Linked DNA regions of Xenopus tropicalis. The protein of the gene in region 3 purifies or fractionates together with the protein of the main gene of each other region. This does not show direct contact. Links are inferred from orthologs where the notes say so. Each region holds a gene or a part of one and is shown on either strand. Other genes may lie near its edges. The genes, in order: stx6, snap23, stx7, vamp4, snap29, napa and stx8.

The links.
Region 1: the proteins of stx7 (region 3) and stx6 purify together in Homo sapiens (affinity purification with mass spectrometry; 3 studies listed by BioGRID and IntAct, counting the BioPlex papers as one, with this or other methods). This does not show direct contact. The link is inferred for Xenopus tropicalis from reciprocal best matches to the Homo sapiens genes STX7 and STX6.
Region 2: the proteins of stx7 (region 3) and snap23 purify together in Homo sapiens (affinity purification with mass spectrometry; 3 studies listed by BioGRID and IntAct, counting the BioPlex papers as one, with this or other methods). This does not show direct contact. The link is inferred for Xenopus tropicalis from reciprocal best matches to the Homo sapiens genes STX7 and SNAP23.
Region 4: the proteins of stx7 (region 3) and vamp4 purify together in Homo sapiens (affinity purification with mass spectrometry; 3 studies listed by BioGRID and IntAct, counting the BioPlex papers as one, with this or other methods). This does not show direct contact. The link is inferred for Xenopus tropicalis from reciprocal best matches to the Homo sapiens genes STX7 and VAMP4.
Region 5: the proteins of stx7 (region 3) and snap29 purify together in Homo sapiens (affinity purification with mass spectrometry; 3 studies listed by BioGRID and IntAct, counting the BioPlex papers as one, with this or other methods). This does not show direct contact. The link is inferred for Xenopus tropicalis from reciprocal best matches to the Homo sapiens genes STX7 and SNAP29.
Region 6: the proteins of stx7 (region 3) and napa purify together in Homo sapiens (affinity purification with mass spectrometry; 4 studies listed by BioGRID and IntAct, counting the BioPlex papers as one, with this or other methods). This does not show direct contact. The link is inferred for Xenopus tropicalis from reciprocal best matches to the Homo sapiens genes STX7 and NAPA.
Region 7: the proteins of stx7 (region 3) and stx8 purify together in Homo sapiens (affinity purification with mass spectrometry; 5 studies listed by BioGRID and IntAct, counting the BioPlex papers as one, with this or other methods). This does not show direct contact. The link is inferred for Xenopus tropicalis from reciprocal best matches to the Homo sapiens genes STX7 and STX8.

The regions. Positions count from the first base shown.
Region 1 is NC_030680.2:100,861,717-100,865,216, forward strand, and holds part of stx6 (syntaxin-6), read left to right. Parts: coding exon 1-73; intron 74-1,912; coding exon 1,913-2,007; intron 2,008-3,500. UniProt on the Homo sapiens protein: SNARE promoting movement of transport vesicles to target membranes. Targets endosomes to the trans-Golgi network, and may therefore function in retrograde trafficking.
Region 2 is NC_030684.2:105,560,974-105,563,556, reverse strand, and holds part of snap23 (synaptosomal-associated protein 23), read left to right. Parts: intron 1-748; coding exon 749-892; intron 893-2,583. UniProt on the Homo sapiens protein: Essential component of the high affinity receptor for the general membrane fusion machinery and an important regulator of transport vesicle docking and fusion.
Region 3 is NC_030681.2:70,289,802-70,293,296, forward strand, and holds part of stx7 (syntaxin-7), read right to left. Parts: intron 1,509-3,495; coding exon 1,426-1,508; intron 453-1,425; coding exon 357-452; 3' UTR 1-356. UniProt on the Homo sapiens protein: May be involved in protein trafficking from the plasma membrane to the early endosome (EE) as well as in homotypic fusion of endocytic organelles. Mediates the endocytic trafficking from early endosomes to late endosomes and lysosomes.
Region 4 is NC_030680.2:107,501,334-107,505,340, forward strand, and holds the start of vamp4 (vesicle-associated membrane protein 4), read left to right. Parts: upstream 1-1,207; 5' UTR 1,208-1,227; intron 1,228-3,555; exon of another isoform or gene 3,556-3,661; intron 3,662-4,007. UniProt on the Homo sapiens protein: Involved in the pathway that functions to remove an inhibitor (probably synaptotagmin-4) of calcium-triggered exocytosis during the maturation of secretory granules.
Region 5 is NC_030677.2:153,633,264-153,635,440, forward strand, and holds the end of snap29 (synaptosomal-associated protein 29), read right to left. Parts: intron 1,297-2,177; coding exon 1,136-1,296; 3' UTR 501-1,135; downstream 1-500. UniProt on the Homo sapiens protein: SNAREs, soluble N-ethylmaleimide-sensitive factor-attachment protein receptors, are essential proteins for fusion of cellular membranes.
Region 6 is NC_030684.2:79,897,338-79,901,337, reverse strand, and holds the start of napa (alpha-soluble NSF attachment protein), read right to left. Parts: upstream 2,801-4,000; 5' UTR 2,778-2,800; intron 2,768-2,777; exon of another isoform or gene 2,511-2,767; intron 2,323-2,510; 5' UTR 2,310-2,322; coding exon 2,212-2,309; intron 2,020-2,211; coding exon 1,940-2,019; intron 1,819-1,939; coding exon 1,702-1,818; intron 1,052-1,701; coding exon 1,005-1,051; intron 1-1,004. UniProt on the Homo sapiens protein: Required for vesicular transport between the endoplasmic reticulum and the Golgi apparatus. Together with GNA12 promotes CDH5 localization to plasma membrane.
Region 7 is NC_030686.2:49,420,489-49,423,988, reverse strand, and holds part of stx8 (syntaxin-8), read right to left. Parts: intron 1,593-3,500; coding exon 1,493-1,592; intron 1,096-1,492; coding exon 1,001-1,095; intron 1-1,000. UniProt on the Homo sapiens protein: Vesicle trafficking protein that functions in the early secretory pathway, possibly by mediating retrograde transport from cis-Golgi membranes to the ER.

The DNA.
Region 1 (3,500 bases), on a different chromosome or scaffold from region 3:
TTGTGTCAGGCAGCATTGGTGTCCTTAAGAACATGTCCCAGCGTATTGGCAGTGAGTTGGATGAACAAGCCGTGTAAGTGTTATAGAAAAATCACAGAGAGGCGGGGTATAACACCTCGGATACATAAGGAAAGAAACGGTGAAACTATGTCCTTGGATTGCATAAATAATATGGGACACTAAATGAGCAAAGTTAATTTTCTTTTTCACTTACTTTCACCACCAGGTGGATCATTTAGTGGCATAGGTGCATGTTGTGCCATGACTGTAAGCCAGAGTAGCCAATTGGCAATAATGGGAATCGCTGGTGGGGAAACATATGTGGCTCAGCTACTTTCTGAAGGAGCCCAAAGTTGCCACGAGCAGCGGCGGATTTCTACTGGGGGTGCCCCAAGGCCCCCCCCGCCACGAGAACGCGCATGCGCGCACAAGCCCCACCCCCCCACGAACGCTAATACGCATGCGCCAAACTTAGAACTCCCATACGGAGCAGTGGGGAGATGTCCCCATTGCTCCGTATGGGAGCAAAATTTTAAAATTTGCCTGCGGCGGAGCGGCATGCCGCCCCTGTGTATGTGCCGCCCTTGGCCCGGGCCTTTGTGGCTTCACCACAAATCCGGGCCTGGCCAGGAGAGGCAACTTTAGGCTACTTCGCAAAACCGAAACTTCTCATATGCTTTCCCACCAGCAATTTATATTATTGCCTGTGGGGAAACATATGCAGGAGATAAGTCGCCCTCAGTAGAGAAGATCTATCACAGGCAGCTAATCACCTATTGTGTTATTGCCCTTTAAAGGGAAAATCAGGGCAATGCGGGAAATTAGCTCTTTTGTTATGTAAAATCTGTCACAACTTGTCCCATCCTTCCTCGGGCAAAATGCTGATGCACAGAATTGACACTAAGTTTGCACACACACCTATGCTAAAGATGTTCAAATTCACCTATTTTACAACTTCGCTTTTATCAGATTACCATACATTGCCTGTGTTAAATAGGGTATTTATTTATATTTTGTTTTTTTTTAAAAAAAAGTAATGGCTTGGATACCACTAGTATTTAGTGGCATTTCCTTTACATTTTTTAACTTGATTCAAACTCTTAGGGTAGCCTTCCACAAGCTTCTCACAACATATTGCTGGAATGTTTGCCCATTCCTTCTGACAGAACTGGCATAAGTGGGCCTTATTGATCTAACACTATTTTTCCTGTCCAATCACAAGTTTTTAATGGGATTCAGGTGGGGGCTTTGTTATGGCCATTCCAATACTTTCACTTTGCCTTTAGGCAGGCTATTTGGTTACAACTTTGGAGGTATGCTTTGGATCATTGTCATGCTGAAAGACAAAGTTGTGACCAAGCTTAAGTTCTGGCTGATGTGTTAAGGTGTTGCTACAAAATTTCTACATAACCCATTTTTTTCATAATGCCATTTATTTTCTGGAGTGCATTAGTCAATTTCCCAGCAAGAAAAAATAAACAAAACCCCAAAGCGTTATGCTGCCACCCCTGTGTTTCACAGTTGGAATGGTTCTTCAGGTTAACCTTCCTCCATGCATAGCGATGATCATTATGGCCAAGTTCTATTTTTGTTGTATCTAACAGGAGAACCCTTCTTTGTCCTGGTAAGGATCTTTAAATTTCAGACTGGCTTTTTTATCCTTGCCTATGAGTAGAGGACCCTCAGAGGGGTATGACAGTTAACCAAATGGTGCAATTATGTCTGTTTTGAGCAGTAACTTCATGGCTGGGCTTTACGTTAACAGTCAGAAACTTTCAATTTGCAACAGTTTTACAGTTTAACACCAGAATTCAATTGATATTTTTTTTTTTTATAGACACTGTTCTAATTTATACAGTATATAATGTGTTTCCTTTTATCTAATAAAGTTGCTTCTTAATTACCTTTGTAGAATGTTGGATGACTTTTCCCATGAACTGGATACTGCTCAGTCCCGCATGGATAATGTTCTTAAGAAATTAGCAAAGGTATCTCACATGACTAGTGGTGAGTATGAGCCATTTTGTTATGTTTTAGCAAGTAGACGCTCCTGTCAGGAGATATGTAGCAATACTGGGTGTGGCTCATCCTTGTAATTAGTTTTAGTAAACTTGTTTGCATTTTGGTCAAGAACAGAGTCAAGGTTAAGGTTTAAATGAAACCATCTGTTGGGATCCCACACGAAGTTTGTAATGCTCAGTCCATTATATGATTGCACAAGAAGTGATTACTGTTGAAAAAAAATGCCAGAACTGGCCTGTGACCAACATACTCAACACCATTTGCTAATCTTGAGTAGGATGGGGCCACACCTGTCAAGAACTTCAGTTTGCTGGCCCTCATTATATAGAGTGATCTGATTAGTACAGTTTGTCCAGCCATAGTAATAGGAAATGACAGCCAAAAGTCACCATCAGGAAAAGAATGCTGATTCAGTTTTAAAAAGAGTATTGGGGTGATTATGAAGCACTTTTCTTACACCCTAACACCTATAGGTGATATTATGTCACAGATATTCAAAGGAGAACTCTTCACTTGTATTGGATTTTTAGGGGCTTTATTGTTAAAGGCAGTATACCTCCTTGTTCAACATGAGTTCAATGAATAGGGCTTGTGATGAACATACTTTTTATCTGTTGTTTTAAACACAAAAATCTATTGTTTTTGTTATATCTTGAGCTAGACAGGGAGACTGGAGCTTTTTAGGGCTCTGGCACACGGGGGAGATTAGTCGCCCGCGATTAACTCCCTGTTCGCGGGCGACTAATCTCCCCCGTGTGCCAGAGCCCTTAATGTTTGTTCCTTGCAAGTTAAATAATTAGATTACCGGTGCATGGATAAACACCCTGCATAATGGACTCCTGCTAACAAAACAGTCACAACAGTTTGTGAAGGGAGTGGATTGTATACTGGTAATCTAATTGTGTCTTGAGAGGTTGTGTCTGCACTATTTAACTCAAGAAATAGCAAAACAACATGGATTTTTTGAGATTCAGACAATAGGCGTATCTTAAGCACCAACCCTATTCTTTGCACTAATGTTGAACAAGGGGAGTAGTACCCCTTTAAGGGTGAAAACACACTGAGCTACTAGTAGCAGCTTTTTCACGACTTCTAGACTTCAGAAAATACCTTGCCATAGACAATACTGAGAATTGCCTCTGCTAAAACACATAGAGACAATTATCAGTAAATGATCAGCATTGTCTATATTAGTAGCTGCTACTAGTAGCTCTGTGTGTCTTCACCCTAAGGGCCATGACATACGGGGAGATAAGTCGCGTTGCAAAACAAATCTGTTGTCGTGGGCGACTAATCTCCCCGCAATGCCATCCCACCGGCTAGAAAGTAAATCGCCGGTGGTATGGCATACGCGGCGCCGCGATTTACTGAAGTTGCCTTGAGAGGACACTTCGGCGACTTCAGCAAATCACGGCACTGCGTATGCCATACCACCCGCAATTTACATCCTAGCCAGTGGGATGGAATTGCAGGGAGAT
Region 2 (2,583 bases), on a different chromosome or scaffold from region 3:
TAATTTTCAACTTGTTTTTACCGTGTTTATGTAACAAAAAGGCACGTGATTTTAAGGATTCGGAACTGGTGCGGCCAGGAGCATGGATTCAGCCAAATCCAAATCTATCTTAAAAAATCTCCCAAATCTTGGTGCATTCCTACTCAAAATGCATCAAATAGTGCTGCTAAAAATGCACCCATGCCCCACCTAGTGGTAGGTATAATAACCCTAAAAAGCAAAAATCCAAGTCCAGCTCAGCAAATTCATGACTCCAGTTACATAGGAGAAACAAAAGGTTACTTGGAAGCAGGTCTAATGTGTAGCGCTGGCTCCTTCTGAAAGCTCAGACTCAGGCACAATGCACTGAGATGGCACCTACACACCAATATTACAGCTAAAAAAAAAAAAAAACGTTTTGGTACAAGAATAACATTTTATATGGTAGAGTAAATTATTTGCTGTGTAAACAATGTAATTTATAAATAAATGGATTCTGTCATGATTTTTGTGGTCTCCTTACTCCCCCCTGCCAACTTCTGGGTGTCTCCCCCTTCTCCAGAGACATAACCTATCTGGGAGGTTAGGGAAGGTTCGTATTTTAAATTCAAATTTGATTTTTATTTGAATACAAGTTTCTGGTTCCAGAGGGATATTGCACCTCTGATTTTTTTTTTTTTTTTTGTATCTTGGTGTCATGTTTTTTTAACAATTTCTGAATAGCAGTAGCAATGAATGATCCTGTCTAACAGACTTCACATCTTGGTAGGCCAAAGGATTTCGAGAGTGGGGAAAACTACAAAAAGACTTGGGGCAGTAAAGACAATGACTCAGAAAATGTGATATCAAAGCAACCTCATCAAACAAATGGACAACAGGGTGGAGTGGCACAGAGTGGTCCGTATATTAAGAGGTAAGAGAATATATAAAAGAATATACAATGTTTGATAGAGTAAATTGTATTCCTTACTGCATTTTGGCCATGCAGGAATGTAAAGGTACTAAGATTATATCTTGAATGGATAAGATTAGAAAGTTTGTCCTTAAGAGAAAATACATAAAAATAGCTAAATACCATTATTTTCCTTTTAAAGGAGAAGGAAAGGCTAATAAAGAGTTAATCTCAAGCTGCAGGCATACCTTCAGTTGTCTCAAGTCTCCCCATATTTCTCCCGTTCAGATGATCAGAAGCCAAACAGGAAGAAAAAATGCTGAGCTGTGTATAGAAAGTTCCCATAATGCCTCACCCCTGCACAGACGCCCAGACCAAGTGAACATGCTCTGTTAGTTATGAGTCAGCTTCCTGCTGATTGGCTCAGATTCATATTCCTAAGGGGGGGGATGAGTTCTTAGCATTCTTGAGGGAGGGGGAGCAGGAGAGAGCAGAGAGCGATGTGTCTCTGGCATAGGAAAACAGACACAACTAATATTTTAACAGAAAACTCAGTGCAGCATTTCTGTGAGTGCTTATAGCTGTATTTACATAGACCTTTCTGATAAAGCTTACTTAGTTTTTACCTTTCTTTCTCCTTTAAAACACTTTCGTTTTTACGTAACTGTTCCTTTAACAGTGAAAAAAGTAAAAAGCACAAAAATAGAACAATTACAGATGGTCTCAAACTAACTATTATCCTACTGCTCTTTATTTTCTCCTCATCTCATTCTTTTAGTTTTTTTTCCACTTTTTTATGCAGAAAACACAATATTGGGCTAGGAACCCAATACTTTACAGGGAAATATATTTTAAACCATGCTTTATTATTGGTGACTATTTACTCATTACTATCTAAACTTTAACTGAGCAAAGTGCCCCAGATGTCCTTCAGGCACATGCATATCTTAAAGGTATTCAAGGAATTCATAGGATTAATGTACAACTAAATACAGTAGATTTTGAAGTTTATATAAGTTTGCTGGGAATTATGCCCCCAAAGTCTGAAAGCAATAGAGTTGCCAAATTATTGGCCTGCGTACGGAGCCTTTAGGAGGGCCGCTCAACCAAAATCTTGCTAGTACCTATTGGGTTGATTTCAAATTCCCATTGGGTGAGAATCTTGGCATGTATGGCCATCTTACGTAAGGTAATGAACAGCTACTTGTGTGTATTGGGGGAGGGGGGTGGATTGCAAGTTTGATTCCAACCTGAGCATTGTCTCACTTTATAGATTTCTGGGGAAAGGTTTTTTTTTTCTGTCCAGGCAGAGTAAGTTCCTGGTTAATTGTTTACTGATAAAATTGGCTGTAGTGTATGTTAAGGGTGAAGACACACAGACGGTTATCAGTAAATGATCAGCATTATCTAGCTGCTGCTAGTAGCTCCATGTGTCTTCATGCTAAAACAATAGGGATTGTTGACTGCTAGCTCCACTGGGGCACTGATGTGAGTGATGTATAATCTCTGTAAAGTGCAGTGAAATATGTTGGCACTTTTTAAATAAAAGAATAATAATTATAAGCTCCAAAGGGCCTATCTCTGTAGGCAGAAGACACAGAAATGCCCTGGAAACATTGTAAGGTCACCATATGGCTTACATTTTGCAACATTTTATCTTCCTCATGTTCTTCATATTAATATTTGATCTTTAAAATGAATACAGTAGGTCT
Region 3 (3,495 bases):
AACCAATTATCAACTTAATCCATTTAGTGCAACCAGAGCATAGAAAACAACTGACTGGGTGCTGAGGATTTTTTCCTGCAGCCAAATTTTCACCCAAATTGTAAAGTCAGGGGCTCTGTATTTTCTAGGTTGCACCTTGTCAGACCTAAACCCAACCAACAATCAGTTTTGTACAACAAGGCATAGCCCCCACTTGCTCATCTTTGATAGAGCATAGCCAAAGAACGCAAGCACTGCCATAACAATGCAAAAGATATTCAATTAATTTTTCTTCATCATTAGAGTAATGTGCCTTTCTTCTCGTGCAGTAAAGAAATTAGGTGATAACAAATATTTCTTCAAATGTAAAAATACCATTAGTGTTTAACAGCTCCCCAGATAATCAGTCCAATGACTGTTGCAGCTACAACAAGTACTGCAATAATAATGCAAATCTTCCTCCTGGATTTTCTCTGCAACACACAAAAAAATGGCAATATACAGTTATTTTCAACTACATTTATTTACAGGTTTACCTTAAAATATTAAGTAATGCTTAAATAACATAATTCAGTCAGCACACCAAAGTTCTGCTTATTTGCACAATTTATTGTCGGGCGTAACAGTTTGTCCTCCATGCTGGAGATATAAAGAACTATGACTGAAATGACAAAGTTCATCGTGAGAAAAAAAAAATGTGCAAAAAAGAAAGCTAGGTTTTTTTGGTTTTTTTTTTTGCATTTCTCACTGTGTCTCTCTTTCCATATCCTTTAGAGTGCATATTCTAGGGATCCCCTTTTAGTAATGCAAAGCAAAGCCATAAAAAAAGGTCTTAACTGGTTACTGAGTGACAGGGGGAATTTAGACTGATCTGAATATGAACAGTAGTGCTCCAGATGTTGCAGAACTATAGCTGGCCACACACACCGATAATATCGTATGAAAACCCATTTTGTACGATATTCGGTGCGTGTATGGCAAGTCGGCGAGTTGACTGATATCGCAGGAGGCTGCTGATATCGGTCGACTCGCCGATCGGCCGGGTTAAAAGATTTTGATCAGGCGCCTGATCAAAATCTGCCTTCAGGGCTGAATCAGCAGAAGGAGGTAGAAATCCTATTGTTTCTACCTCCTTATCTGCTGTTTCAGCCCTGAACGGTTAGCGACCGATGGTCGCACAAAAGATCGGAAATCGCCACGTGTGTGGCCACCTTATAATTCTCAGCACAACCTGACAGCTGAAAAATGAAGGGCCACAGGACATACTTCCTTGTGTTCCATGTGGCAATCAAAGCACTAAAAGTCTATTTTGTCCTAAAACAGAGAAAACAGGTAATCTCCATAATTAAATAAAGCATTTTCCATGTCACACTTTTCCAATTTCCAAGTGGCATTTGCCACTGCCCCACAAATTATAATGCTGTTTGAAACAAACACAAAGCCTACCTGATATTCTGCAGCCCTGGCCAGCTGCTGGTTTGCTTGCTGAACATGGACATCTGCATTTTCCACATTGGCTTCTATACTGTCTGTACAAGAAAGCATTATTACAGATTACACAGGAGATAATTGCACCTGCTTAACAAGAGTCGAGTCTGTGACCTGGGCATGATTGAACAACCTTCAGTGCTTTTGCTGAAAGTGATAAGAAAAGTATAAGCAGAAGCAGAATATATGGGAAGGCCTGGGCTATAGTGGCATGTTCTAAGTGGTAGAATGTGGGCCAAAACACTTATAGACTGCTCAATTGGTGTAGCTTCCTCATTTGAATACTAGCAAGGGGAAAGAAAATGGGGCGTGGCTTGAGAGCAGGCTCAAAGTTAGGTGTGAGCAGGCAGCCCAGCCTAAGGTTGCACCAAATTGATATTTAGCGCTGGATAAACAACAAAACTACCACAAGAGACATAAGATCCACAAGATGTGCAGTTATTTTAACAGTGATGCAGAAATACATTGTTTTTTTGCTAAGTCCTTTAAGTATGTTACGTTAGCAATATTAGTAGTGTCATCACATCCCTTTAAAAGTCTCCCTATATAAAATTCATATACTGTAACTATGATGCATGGCTTCTAGATTAGAGTAAAAAGTGATTCCTGAAGTGTGGGCGCATTGCACGGGGGGAACTGGTATTCTTTTTCTAAAAAAAAAAAAAAAATATTGTTTTAGCCAACCAGAGAGAGTGGGCTCTATTAGCCTGCACTTGGTGGGGGAAGCAAATTTAGGGTGATAGGTGCCCATTAAGTGAAAATGTTTGACAAAGAAAGTTAATTTTCTCTATCGTTGGGTAAAATTCCATTTTTCCCCACTTATATATATTTCACTTTACTCAAAGGGGCAGTTTTGAATTCAAAATTAAAGCTCGCCACAGAAATCTTAAATCCCATAGAAATTGGGTGAATAAGTGTATTTATCAGTGGGTAAGAGTTCACCATTTGATAAATACACTTCTAAAAATCCCAAAGGAATGAATAAGAATGTGATGAGATCTAATCCCACATTTTGATAAATCTCCCCAAAAGTGAGAATGTAAATGTGTATTTAAAGACAAAAATATATATTTTCTGCATTTTAGATGCTATTTCAAACTTTTCCTTTGGAAGACAACTAAATAGGAGAAAACTTGTATGCAGACATACAAGCATAAATAATAAATTAGATTTGGTAACAGAAGCATTTGTTGCGTTATAGCTGTACTTGTAATTTTTAAATGTCTGACTGCTCTCTAGTGGTCAAATTAATAAATGCAGAAACCAAAGATAAGACAGAATGTTGGGGTAAGGAAATGGTTTTTGAGCGATCGGGCTCATGTATTCTGCAAGTGCATTAAGCAAAGTGCAATGTGGGTGGTGATGCTCTTAATGCAATTGTGCTGCACCAACCACAGTTGCGTCCAATTCATTAAATTGGGCATTTTGCCACAAATCAGATGCAATTGCGTGGAAATCTGTCTGTTGTCATTTCCGGTGTTTGGTGTGTGAGTTACATCTGCATAGGATTCTTCAGTCGCAAGTGCACTGCACCTATTTACACTGGGCACGAAGGGAACCCTGGAGCTACCACCTGGTCAGGAGGTGGCAGTAGCTCAAGGGTTCTCCTGTGTCAATAGGTGCAGCAGAACATGATTCAAAATGGGAAGCAGGAAGGATGAGCAGCACCAAAGGCAATTTGATGCAAGTACATTTAATTATATGGAGTTACGTGTAACTGACTGCAGGGGAATTGTGGGGACTGCAACTGCACTTGCGGATGTACACTAGCCCTGTTATGTTCAAGCCCTCTTCTACAGCTGTAAAAATTTCTTAACCAGCAAATAAATGCTTGCCCTAAATCAGCTGGGTCGTAACAAAAAGGAAAGCAAATAAGCATTCTCAAATGCCAACCCCTGTGGCCTATGCCCCCCTATGGCCTATGCCCTTTTCTTCTTTGAGCTCCCCAGAAGCGGCTGCATTGGATTTTGGCAGTAACTGCAATGCAGTAATGGCAACTATGCCAATTATATGCATTTTGCCCACTGA
Region 4 (4,007 bases), on a different chromosome or scaffold from region 3:
CCCATAGGGCTCAATGGCACTCTGCAGCTCCAACCCGACCCAAGGAAAGTCACGATACTGAAGCTTGAATGAATCCGAAACTTTCGTACTCGGCGCAACGGCTACGAAAAATCGCAACAATTCACGCAAGTCGTAACGCTACGAAAAAGTCGCGACAATTTGCGAAAAAGTCATAACGGCTACGAAAAAGTCGTGACAACTTACGAAAAAAATTGCAAAATACCGATCATTACGAAAAAAAGCATTCGGACGCTTTTCGGACGTTCGTGGATTAGTAAATGTGCCCCAAGGTGTTATAAATACACACAAGCAAACACATAACCTTGCACTAGGAGTAAGTGCCCTACAAAGGGACCAATAAACCCTATCTATGTAAATGTCTACTCTACAGTATAAGGGCAGTGGTACTTGGGGAGATTAGTCACCCCGCGACAAATCTTTGTTGTCGCGGGCGACTAATCTCCCCACAATGCCATCCCACCGGCTAGAATGGGTGGGATGGCACTGTGGGGAGATTAGTTGCCCACGACAACGAAGACGATACTACTTCAAATCGCTTAACGCTCTGAATCGATATGAGACCCTTTTTTGAGTGATTTTACAAAGAAAGCAATGTCATTAAAAACTACTGGAATCGCTGAAAGTAAAACCCACTGATGGAAGCTGCTGCGATTTCCCCATTGCACTGAATATAATTTCTAATTGTGGAATATGACACTTGGATTTGTGGGAAATAGAATTGCTCCATTGTTGTAATCGCTTGTTAGGAAAAGACAAGTGACTTGTTAAAAGCGACTCACTTTTTAAAAATCACAGCGACTAAATCTCCCCATGGGATATTAGCCTAAGAAAGAGACAATTTAAAATAAAATGAAAGAGCAAATATTTGTTCAATACTAAAAATAATGACAACATTTCTTTAATGTCTCTATTTCATCTTAAAAGATGTAATTAATACTTAAAAAAACATTTTGTACGGCGTTAATGAATACAAACAACGTCAAATCATTAATTTCAGTCCTACAATGGTGCTGGCAGGCTGGCTTCACACTGTGCCAGTGCGCTTGCGCATTGTGAGAACGCCGAACTCTAGATCATTCAGAGGGTTAAAGGGAACAGGACGGTGAATCGCGTTTCGAGCGATGGATGGTTTACAGTCAGCTGGAGCGCCATGTTAGCCAGTGAATAAGCTTAGAGCTGAGCATCGCTGGAGTCTCATCCGAACAGGTACAGGTCTGCCGCATCGGCTCTAGTTGGGAGGGATTCCCCCAATAGTGAACCGTCCGAATATATTACAGCTGCCAGTTTGTCTTGTGACAGTCACAGGCGGTGAGGAAGATGGCTCGGTCTTATTGTCTTCTTGTCAGTGGTTCCTCTTTACAAATCCCAGTGTTTGTGTTACTGTACTAAATACGAATTGCTACACACTTATGGCCACCTATTGCTTTACTTGTTAATTTATCTTCTATGTGTGTGTGTATGTATGTATATATATAATATATATATATATTATACACACACACAGTACTCAAGCCATGAATATCCAGTAAATTGATAGTGATAATCAGTGCTTAGTTCTAAAATTTGTGTCTTGCTGCGTTGTGCCACTATATGGTCATGAAACCTCCCATAACCTCTGATATCTTTATCATGTACAATAGAGGGTACATATATAGTCTCATTGACTGTCATAAGGATGATCTTGATGACAACTTTGTATAGATTGGAACACGTAGAACTTTTAAAGGGGTTGTTCACCTTAAAATTAACTTTTAAGTATGACGTGGAGATTTATATTTGCATTTGGTCTTAATTTTTATTATTTACGGTTTTTTAATTAATTTGCTTTTTGCGAAGCAACTCTTCAGTTTGGAGTTTCAGCACCTATCTGGTTGCTTTGATCTTAGTTACCCTAGTAACCAGGCAGTGGTTTGAATTAGAGACTGGAATATGAACAGGAGAGAACGTAACTAGGAAGATAAGTAATGAAGAGAATGACAATAAAATTGTAGCCTCACAGAGCAATAGTTTTTGACAGACAGGGTCAGTGACAGGCCCGGACTGACGATATGTGGATTCTGGTAAATTCCAGAGGGGCTGCTGTAAGATACCATAGACAGTCACTATTGGGCTGGTGGGGGCTGTTTGGGCCTTTTGTGTACTTGAATTGGCCAGGCCTATTTTGAATCCCAGATCAGACCTGGTCAGTGACCCCCATTTGGAAGCTTTAGAAGAAGAAGCCAAATAATTCAAAAACGATACAAAATAACAAATGAAGACCAGCTGAAAAGTTGCCAAGTATTGATCATTTTATAACATAATAAAAGTTAACTTGAGGTGAATCACTCTTTAACTTCACTGGATTACTTAAATAACATGCAAAAATAAGTGCTTTTGTATTGTGACTGTATATAGTAAGCATCCGGCTGGATACTTCAGAATTATTGGAGTGTGTCTGGATGGGATGGAGATAAATAAAATGTTAGGCACCCCCATTGATTGTAATCATTTACCTGATACCCCAGCCGGTGCTCCTGTTTGGAGAAAACTGCAGTGGCCTTGGGTATATGTGAGCGAGTGTTCCTTTTCCTTTTATCTTCTTTCTTCGGAATCCAGGGGCCGAAGCATGCTCAGTTGAATGAAAAAGCCAGCTATTTTGTTAAAGCCGGCTTTTTACTCTACTGCACATGTGCAAAGAAGAAGGAACGCTCGCTCGCATACACCCTGGCCACTGCAGTTTTCTCCAAACAGGAGCACCGGCTGGGGGTTTCAAGTAAGCGATTGAAGTCACTGAGGGGAGGGGGGCTGCCTAACATTTTGGCACCCCCAAGTGATTGTAACTTTCCTTCTCCTTTAGGGCCGTGGCAGACGGGGAGATTATTCGCCTGCAACAAATCTCCCTTGTCGCGGGCGACTAATCACCCCGATATGCCACCCCATCGGCTTAAATGTCAATCGCCGGTGGTATGGCATATGCGGTGCCGCAATTTCCCAAAATTGCGGAAGTTTCCTCTCAAGGCAAACTTAAGGCCCTTAATGTTCATAATTGCGGTAGCACCTTATTCAGGCGCCGAAAATGCAGTACAGAGAAAAATAGCTTTTATAGGCCCCTTTCCTTAGCACCAGCTCCAGAGCAGAGCAGAACAGGACAGAGCCTCGGGTAATACATTTTTGAACAGTAGAATGCAAGAATTATTTTTTAGGTTTTTGCTGAACTCGCAGCTATGTTCTTGCCCCTGTGTATAATTCTACATTGTGTTCTTTTTCCTTGTAAATGCAGAATCATGGTGTAATGGGGTGGGGTGGGGGGGGGGGGGGTTGTTAGCTCTGGAAGGAAATGTATATGTGAATATTTTCATTTCTTTTTATGTAACTGGCAGTTTAGTCTGCTTTTTTCTTTATATGCCAAATATTAGCCAAGACTTAAGACTTATTATCTTTATTATTTTGTGTCCCTGGCAGTTTATTATTGGCAGCTTGTATTTTTAATTTCAAACCTAGTTGGTTGAGAAAGAAAAAAGCAGCTCTTTGTTTTATATTTATTGACCAGGTTTTAGGGGCAGCTGGGTCTCTTCATCAGACATTCCTTTAAACCATGGAGAATTATCTGTTTCAGCCAATAAAATAACCATATAAATGCCAGTATTTCCCTTTCGAAAAGGTGAGACAGTTATTCCAAAAATGCTTATATATCATGCATGTTAAGCAATCCTGCCCAGTGCACAAAGGTTTCCATCACTGTGCAGATTCTTTGTCCTATAATAGTTAATTGGAAATTATGTAGAAATAACCTGTATATGTGTGCATGGGAACTAAAGTTCTCAGCCCTTAATTTCAGCAAGAAAAAAAAATCACTAGTTTGTCAGTGCATAACATTTCTGTAAAACTTCTCAAGTCCAAATGTAATAAATAATACCTCCAGATTACATGGGCATAATGTTTACCCTAGAATGCGCCAATTCCTTAATTTTGGGGTTTTTTTCTTAAAGGTAATCACATGTTGTGGG
Region 5 (2,177 bases), on a different chromosome or scaffold from region 3:
TAGGTAAAAATGCTGCTGTACAAGATTATTGTGCTACTTCTCAGTCTAGTATGCAAAGTGGCCTTTTTAAACACGCCCTCAAACATATATGCATTTGACAGTGAAACACAGGCTCAGATGTTATCATAGCTTGTACTGCTTAAAGATATACAGTATATATGTTAATGTACAGCTACTAAAAAGCTAGGCACATTTGCCTTCAACAGCTGCTATAAATTCTTTACCACTGATTTTATCTGAAGCACATGTGCCCCGTTTTGATTATGATTACAACTTTGTAATTGATAGTTACAAGGGTGCATGGTGTTATTGCTCATGTAATATTTTACACAGCTTTAAAATATGCCCAAGTGTGCTAATAATACAAAAGGGGAAATAAGGATTACTATGTCCAAAACATTTAATAAGTATAAGGGAGTATGAATAAATTATCTGAAATGTCAGGCAGAGAAACAAGTCTACAGACTCAAATTTGTCTAAAGAAGACAAATGGCACAAAATCAGAAAGCAAATAATATATTAAACAAGTTAGTTAAAATAATAACAGGCAAGATTATTAGGCTTTTTTTTTTAACTTAACAAGTAAACTGATAAAATATTCACAGTATGGTTTACGGGAGTGTCACATAAATTTATAAACATATTTATACACAAAGTTTCAGAACACTAGATTAAAATAATAAGGGTAATAAGAAAGTGGCATATGGCAGGGCCCATTAAACCCTATGTTACGAGCATGTGTAAAATATTGCAGTTTTAATAAAGGCATGTTCATATGTCTATTCTGTCATATAGCAGTAAGGTAATACCTAGCAAATGAACTCAAATACTTTATTCAGATCCAGAGCTATAACAAACTGCCAATCACTACAATACAATTCCAATAGTAAGACAATTCATTTTTATATCTTAATAAGGATCTATATTAGTAATAATACTGCAAAACATCATCTACATTTAATGCTAACGAATGTAATGTATAGTTATACAGAAGATATAAGATTCAGATAGGGATGTGTGGGATATTTATGTCCCAGTATAAAAAAAAACAAAAAAAAAAAAAACTGCATAACATTATAAAAACCACAAGAATAAAACTCAAGAGTCGGTCTTGGTCAAGTCTGAAATTTGTCTTTTATAGCTCTTCGCGAATCCGCTTGTCTGTAGTCTTGATGTTTAAGTCCATCTTATCTACTTTGCCAGTTAGGCGCCCAAGCATCTCATCCTGGTCATCGATTTCTGTCTGAAGTCCTAGTGCAAGGTTTTTCAGGCGACCCAAACCTAAAGACATGTCATCTGGAAGAAAGGAATAACACAACCTTAGGATTAGTATTATTATTTTTAAAATGCAGCAATATTAGTAGGTATGGAAAAAAAAAATACGGTGTATGGGTTACACCTTGTCATTTAGCTTTAACCAGGTCATCTATAAATGGTAGCCTTGATGCCTAGAATCAGTCATTAAAATCTGTTGGGAGCCTATTTCTTTCCCAATAGATTCTTAATGTGATTAGTTGGTTGGTAATTAGAGTCGCAATCCTCCAAACTGTTTATGAAAGATATGCCAAAACAGGAAGTATTTGTTAAGAGATACTGACACCAGAAATGAAATTATTTTTACATCTGTCATAACATTGTCTTTGCATGCTATTTATAATTTTGCCATAAAAGTATTTGTCCAAGCTTTTACATTCCCTATCTGATCCCCCATGTTCCTCTATGAGGGGGCGGCCATATTTGTCCAGCAGGAGGCCGTTAGCATTAGAAGCTATAACTGACAGGCTGAGAAGGGACAGTCAGGCTGGCAAAACAGTCAGGTTTTGGGATTTCAAGTAACAATTACTTACAAAAGCAGCCCTATCAGTAAAAAATGATCAACACGACCTATAGGCAACTTTTTATGTAGATTTATATTTTAAAAAGTTTTTTTTTCGTGTCAGTATCACTTTAGCAGTCATAATGGTTTTGTAGACAGGCCAAAGGGGTATTTGAAGAGCAGCTCTCTTATTATTTCACTCCCAGTCTTATACCACACAAATCCTTTCAGTGTTATTATGTAAAAAGACACTGGGTTACCCCATTAGGGCAAAGGCACACATTTCAGTAATTTAAAAAGCAATTGTAATACTGATAATAGTAAATGTAGGATTGGTAGTTAATGATCCTCAGAGCCTATA
Region 6 (4,000 bases), on a different chromosome or scaffold from region 3:
GCAACATCATAAAAAAAACCAGATGAATAGGATGCTCATTTTACAATAAACCTAAACATAAACAAGAAAATTCAACATAAAACCCAACAACAAACATCAAATCTTTGAGGACCGCCTATGCAGGGGATACAGGGGAATGGCTCCCTCCACCATAGCTTCTCATGCTGCCACAGTTGGCCCACCAGGTGTCTTTAAGAATTGTGCAATTTTTCTGTGGGTTTTTTTTTTTTTTTTTTTGCATACATACATAAAATGGACATTTACATTTTTTTTTTCTCTATGAGGGGGGACAGCTCTTGAACCTGACTGAGCATATACCAGATATCCATTCTACCGGGTATATATTTTGCCACTTCCTCCCAGAAGTGCTGCACACAGGCCACAACAGCTGGATAAAGTCAGATGGTGAAAAACGACATCTGGGGCACTCTTGTGGGAGCTCCTGGTTTAATATTTGTAACGGTGGGGTGTATCCCTAATTACAGCATCAAAGGTTGACTCCAACACCTCCTCCCACAGTTCAAGTGTAATGTGGGGGAGATCCTGTTGCCACCTGGCATAGAGTTTGTTCAGAAGGGTACTGCCTGCCCTCACTTTTGCATTATTGATGTCTGCCTACTATTTCATGTTCAGAACATCCTCCAATTTATTTTTAGAGCTTTATCCTACAATTTCAGTCTGAATGTTAGTTTTAGATCGTTGCATTTAAACGTATGATCGATATCCGAACATTCATTAGAAGAGCATTTTTTTTGTTCCCTGCTACTTTCTGACTAAAAAAAAACCCACTTGTTTCCATAACAATTCTATTGCCCATTTCCCAAACACATATGTATCATTCTCTACAAACTGCATTTAAACACACCTTGATCCTTAGTCAACAAATATCTTACTAAACATCTTGCGTTCTTTTAGCCATATTCGCATTGTCACTCTGTTTGTGGTCAACTTAAGAAGTGATAAAGACCAAAAAAAAGCGGAAGATAGTTTGAAATTGTCCTTACCATGTCAGTGTAGATCTCTATTGCTCGAAGCAGACAGTTAATTGCCTCTGAAAACAATATAGATACTTGTGATCATTTATCAAAGTTATTATTGAAAAAGTTAAGCATTGCTTTATGTATTCTTGCAGAAAAGCCTTTATTTCATTTAATAAAATACCTCTAATAAAATAAGGCCTAAAATCACCTGGCATTTCATATTCAAGATGAATATATAAGAATATATTCATGTGCCTGGCTGTGCATGGCATTCTCTGGTCAAGACAATATCAGATCAGCTTGAAATGTGCCTGTTTGCATTTGGCGACCAGTGCTAGGATTGCTTTGATAGTAAAAAAATGCTGCAAATCACACCGGTCTATTTTGTCTATTATTAACAGTTACAGGTGAGGAGCACTGTATTCAGGAGCATCAAGACGGGGGAGGAGGGGGGTCTCTGCATTTTATTCTTCTTGGAGCTATCATTGTGGGGGTATTGCCACAATAGACAAAAAACACTTTTGTGCAAAACACTTATTTACACTTAGTTATTACAACAACCCACATTTCTGTGCACATAACTGATATAAATATGTTATCTTTGTGCATATGACCGAAAACAAATCAAAGGGGAACACTGGGTGCTGGTACAAACAGTTATTGATAGATAACTTTGAAAAAAAAAAAGACTCATTCAAGAGACAACTAGGACCTCTCTTACCCTGGGGGTCAGATTTCTTGAATGCATTTCCAGCATCCACAAAGTTAGTGGCTGCATCATGCTTGCTTTGAACCTGAAGATGGATCTGGGCAGCCTGGCAGAAGGCATTGCCAGCAGCTGGGAAAAAGAAGAAGAGCATCTTATTGCACTATTCCGAGGAGTATAAATATCTATATACCTATATATGGATATATGGAAAGTTTGTTACAAATGATTTTACAGATTACATACTACCTACCACTCCAGTTCTTGGCCATCTTAAACATGTTGGCAGCCCTGGCATAGAGGTCGCATGCTTCTTCCATTTTAGAGGAGCCTCTTAAATGCAGACAAACAGACAAAGATTACACACTATTCAAGTTATAAGATTAACAAAATGTAAAATGCTTTGTGTAGTGACAGCTACAGCGTTGTAAATGCTTAATATTACTAACACTAGTGACAGTTCAATGCTTTTGGTCAGAAACAGATTTTGCCCTGTTACCATGTAATTATTTCTAATTCACTTACCCAAACAGCCCTGAAAAGAATGACTGCGATGACTTCACCTTCTTGTCAGCCTCAGCCAGAAGCTGCAGAGCCTCCTTCTCCTTCCCAGAGTTATCCATGGTTGAATGGGGCCTGTCAATGATAATAACAATCAGAAAATATGGAAAATAGATGCCAATATAAATTATAAAAAAGAAAATATCTATAAATTCAGAAAAATTCCCCGGTATTAGATCAGAGACCATAGAATCAGCCATTGTAACATGGGCCTGGAATTACATTTTAGGAAAGTAGTTAATCTATTAAAGTTTTTCTATTACCGCAAGATGTTAGCCGATTCAGAGCGCTAACCAGAACTAGGAGGCAGGCAGCCAAGAAAAAGCTCTGCAAATGAGTGAAAGGCCTCGTAGAAAGCCGACGAGCTAGTAATACGAGGATACTCGCGGATAGAGACAAACAGGAGGCAGAGGCCAGGGATCAAAAACCCTTGAACCGAGAGACGGCCGAGGGAGATAATCGGGAATCAGAGAGCAGAAGAATAGGGCAAGCAGAAGGGAAAGAATTGTAACAGTGTGCGGGACGCTGACCTGATTTTGCAGGCAAATAATGACTGCGCTTAGTATTTCTCCGGATCAGCAGCTATGCTTCAGTGACAGCAAAACTTCCGCCCGCAGAACACATGATTATTCTGTTTCCGCCAATATCCGTGCCACGTGACCAAACGTTAGCATTCACATCCGCCTAGACACAGTCAGAAGATGTAGTTAGGCTTTTTCTGAGCGGCATTTAAAGGGAAAGATGTGTACTCCTTTTTAAAAATAATACAGACTGTAGTGCGTTGTTTTCTATTACATTATCATTTTTTTACATATGATCTTTTTTATGTTTTAGTTGTCCTTATCTTCGTGTAGTGTTGCATTTCATATTAAAAAAAACAGTGGTCTTCCGGGTTTGTTTGTTTTTAGCTTTTTGCCTCGCTATTGGCAATGTTTGGAACGAGGCATCATTTTTACTACCCTGGCGTTAACATTATTAGTAAGGGGGCAGCCTTTGTTCTGATTCAGCTAATACTGCTTATTACAGTAACTCCATGTTACCATTCTCTGCTCTCTAAGCATAAATGCGGTAGAGGTTAAAGGTCCAGGAAACAGTTTTTTTTGCTTATTGGTGCACCACCAACTATATACTTTACTAATGACCTGAAGGCCAAGTTAAGGAAAGGCAGTAAAGAATAACCCAAACTGCTTAACGTGCCTGGCAATGAGTTTAATATAAACTGCTCATACCTCCCAACATTTGAAAATGAAAAAGAGGGACAAAATATTTTGCAGCGCTAAGCGCGGCGAAATTTTTCTTGACCACGCCCACTATATGGCCACACCCCCAGATGTCCCATTTTTGCACATTGTCCCGCTGTCCCAGATACTTACTGAAATGTCCTGCTGTGTCTTTTAAGTGTCCTGCTCGTCTTCAGGTCTTTTTGTCTTCCTTTGGGTTTCCTTGGCTCCTTCTGTCACTGCTGTCTTTGGATCTTCACAGCTTCTTCCTGCACTTTTTTATTTGTTGTGGGTGCTGGTGCTGCTCAGGTCGTGGGTCACAAAAGTTACGCTGGTGCTGCTGTGCCTTTATCTACTACTGTACAAGCTCTACTTACTGCTCCTTTTTTAAAAAAAATAAGCTTGGTGAGTCCCTGACTGTAACAAGTGTTTATTAATTCTTAATAAATAATTAATATTCATTATTAATAAACACCTTTGTTACAGTCAGGGACTCACCAAGCTTATTTTTTTTAAAAAAGGAGCAGTAAGTA
Region 7 (3,500 bases), on a different chromosome or scaffold from region 3:
CCCAATACCTGACTAGGGTTTACGGGCAGCCCCAATACCTGACTAGGGTTACGGGGCCGCCCCAATACTGACTAGGGTTACAGGGCCCCAATACCTGACTAGGGTTACAGGGCCGCCCCAATACCTGACTAGGGTTACAGGGCAGCCCCAATACTGACTAGGGTTACAGGGCAGCCCCATAGGGTTACAGGGCAGCCCCAATACCTGACTAGGGTTACAGGGCCGCCCCAATCCTGACTAGGTTACGGGGCCGCCCCAATACCTGACTAGGGTTACAGGGCCGCCCCAATACCTGACTAGGGTTACGGGGCCGCCCAATACCTGACTAGGGTTACAGGGCCGCCCCAATACCTGACTAGGGTTACAGGGCCGCCCCAATACCTGACTAGGGTTACAGGGCCGCCCCAATACCTGACTAGGGTTACAGGGCCGCCCCAATACCTGACTAGGGTTACAGGGCAGCCCCTATACCTGACTAGGGTTACAGGGCCCCCCCTATAAGCTGACTAGGTTACAGGGCCGCCCAATACCTGACTAGGGTTACAGGGCAGCCCCTATACCTGACTAGGGTTACAGGGCAGCCCCAATACCTGACTAGGGTTACGGGGCCGCCCCAATACCTGACTAGGGTTACAGGGCCGCCCCAATACCTGACTAGGGTTACAGGGCCGCCCCAATACCTGACTAGGGTTACAGGGCAGCCCCAATACCTGACTAGGGTTACAGGGCAGCCCCAATACCTGACTAGGGTTACAGGGCCGCCCCAATACCTGACTAGGGTTACAAGACCTGGGCATGGCGCCACATTCTGTGCCAGTGAAGGTGCGGGGAGTTGTAAAATGAAATCCATAAAGGACAATTACATGGGAAAAGCAGAATTAAAGGGAAAGTATCAGGGGGAGAGTAAGTTCTATTAATGACATGCGGTTTTAACCAGCCAATCCGTGTGCCAGACTGCGCGGTGCTCCCGGCTATACGGTCTCCGAAGCGAGAAGGATACATTTGGCGAGTGGATACCGACCGGAGCAACGATTCCTTCAACTGCCCGATCTTCCCACTGAGATTCTGCATCAGGGACCTGAGAGCAACATTAATCTGGGGGAGAAAGGAGGGAGTCAGTCACTGTATATATATATATTAGCACAGAGCAAAGCATGCTGGGAGGCATCTGTTAAAGGGGAAATTTGCACTCAGTAACCTCAGTCTTGTGTAAAATTGCCTAAAAGGGAAATAATGAGTGCTTCCCCTTTAAATGAACTTCAATAACAGGTTTTTATGGTTTTAGAAAGATTTATCTTTTTGTGCCGGAGCTCTCTGGTTTGACAGTTTTGCAGTATTGGGTTGCTAGGGTGCAACCTACCCTAGCAACCAGGCTGGGGTGTGAATGAGGGACTGGAAGATGAAATTGTCTGTTGGGTCAGTGACCCCCCCATATGAATGCTGGAAAGAAGCAGAACAAATAATTAAATAAACTATAGGAAATACATTGTACCTTCACTGGGTTTTCTCCATTCCGCAGGTACCGGTTCCGCTCGTGCAGTTTTTCGGCAATCTCCTGTGCCAGCTGGTATGTATCATCGTAGGTGGCCAACCTTTGGGCAAGGAACACTCAGGTTACGTGGCTAGAGACTCACCAATGGGGGGTAGAAGCGGCCTGGCTACACTGTGTAACAAGGGAGTTGCCCTACCACTTGCCTTGGCACTGTCACTACTGTAGCACTGATTTACCCCCAATACCCCTCAGGGGTAAACACGGCAGATTTATTGCAAACAAAGTGCCCCGAGGGGAACAAGATGTTTTTGCCCGACGTGCAGTTGTAAAACCAAAGGAAAAAACAAAAGGTGATTTGGCTGAAATTCCTCTTCCTGTGAGTGTTTCCATAACAAACAGCAGTGATTACATCGCGCGCATAAAACCTCTCTCCCCGGCCGACAGCACCGCAGCCAGCACTCACTGGGGTCTGTGCAGGGCTATGCCGAAGGTCAGAGTAATGGGCACACAGACTGGAATCTCCCCCTGGACCCACCGACTGGCTCATCCCTGATCCTGGCACCCCCAACAGACTGGGCCTCTCACCTGGCATACACAGACTGGCTTCTGACCCTGGCCTCTCACTACAGACTTGGGCTCTCCCTGACCCCTGGCACCACAAGAACTGGTCTCCCCCTGACTCTGGCACCAACAGACTGCTCTACCTGCACCTACACAGACTGGCATCTCCTGACCCTGGCACTCACACAGCTGGTCTCACCTGGCACGCACACAGACTGGCTCTCCACTGGCAACTACACAGACTGGATCTCACCTGACCTGGCACAACAGATGGCCTCTCCCTGGCACATCACACAGACTGCTCTCACCCTGCCATGGCAACCCACACGATGGCCTCTCACTGGGCACTACACAGACTGGCATCTCACCCTGACCCGTGGACACACAGATGGCTCTCACTGACACTGGCAGCTACTACAGACTGGCCTCTCACGCTGGACTCAAGACTGGCATCTTCACCTGACTGCACCCACACAGACTGCCTCTAGCCCTGGCACTGCCACAGACTGGCTCTCACCCTGGGGATAACAGACTGGCTCCTCACCCTTGGCACTACATCAGACTGGCTCTCCCCTGAACCCATGGCACCACAGACTGGCCTTTCCCTGACCCCTGGACACACAGACTGGCCTCTCCCCTGACCTCCTGGCACACACACAGACTGGCTCTCACCTGGCACTACACAGACTGGATCTCCCTGGACCTGGCACCACACAGACTGGCCTCTCACCCTGGGCCCACACAGACTGGCTCTCAACCCTGGACTACCAGACTTGCTCTCACCTGACCCTGGACCCCAGACTGGCTCTCCCCCTGGCACAGCACACAGACGGCATCTCACTGACCGCTGGCACCACACAGACTAGGCCTGTCACCTGATACACAGACTGGCATTCACCTGACCCTGGCACCCACACAGACTGGCCTCTCACCCTGACCCCTGGCACCCACACAGATGGCCTTCACCTGGCCTACACAGACTGGCCATCTCACCTGACCTGGGCACCAACACAGACTGCCTTCTCACACTGGCCCCACACAGACTGGTCCTCTCACCTGGCACTACAAGACTGGATCTACCACTGACCCTTGTGGCACCCAAAGACTGGGCTCTTCCTGGACGCATACAGACGGCCTCTCACCTGAACCCTGCACCACACAGACTGGCCTCACTCACCTGACCCCTGGACCCACACAGACTTTGGCTTCACCCTGACCCGGACCTCCAAGACTGGCCTCTTCCCCTGGACCCACACTAGCTGGCACCACACAGACTGGCTTCCCTGGCACCACACAGACTGGCACCCACCAAGATGGCTCTCCTGGCACCCACAGACTGGCACCACCAGCTGGCACCACACAGATGGCTACCCACCGCCTGGACCCACACAGACTGGCTCTAGACCCCTGGCAACCACACAGATGGCCCCCCAACAGCTGGCACCAC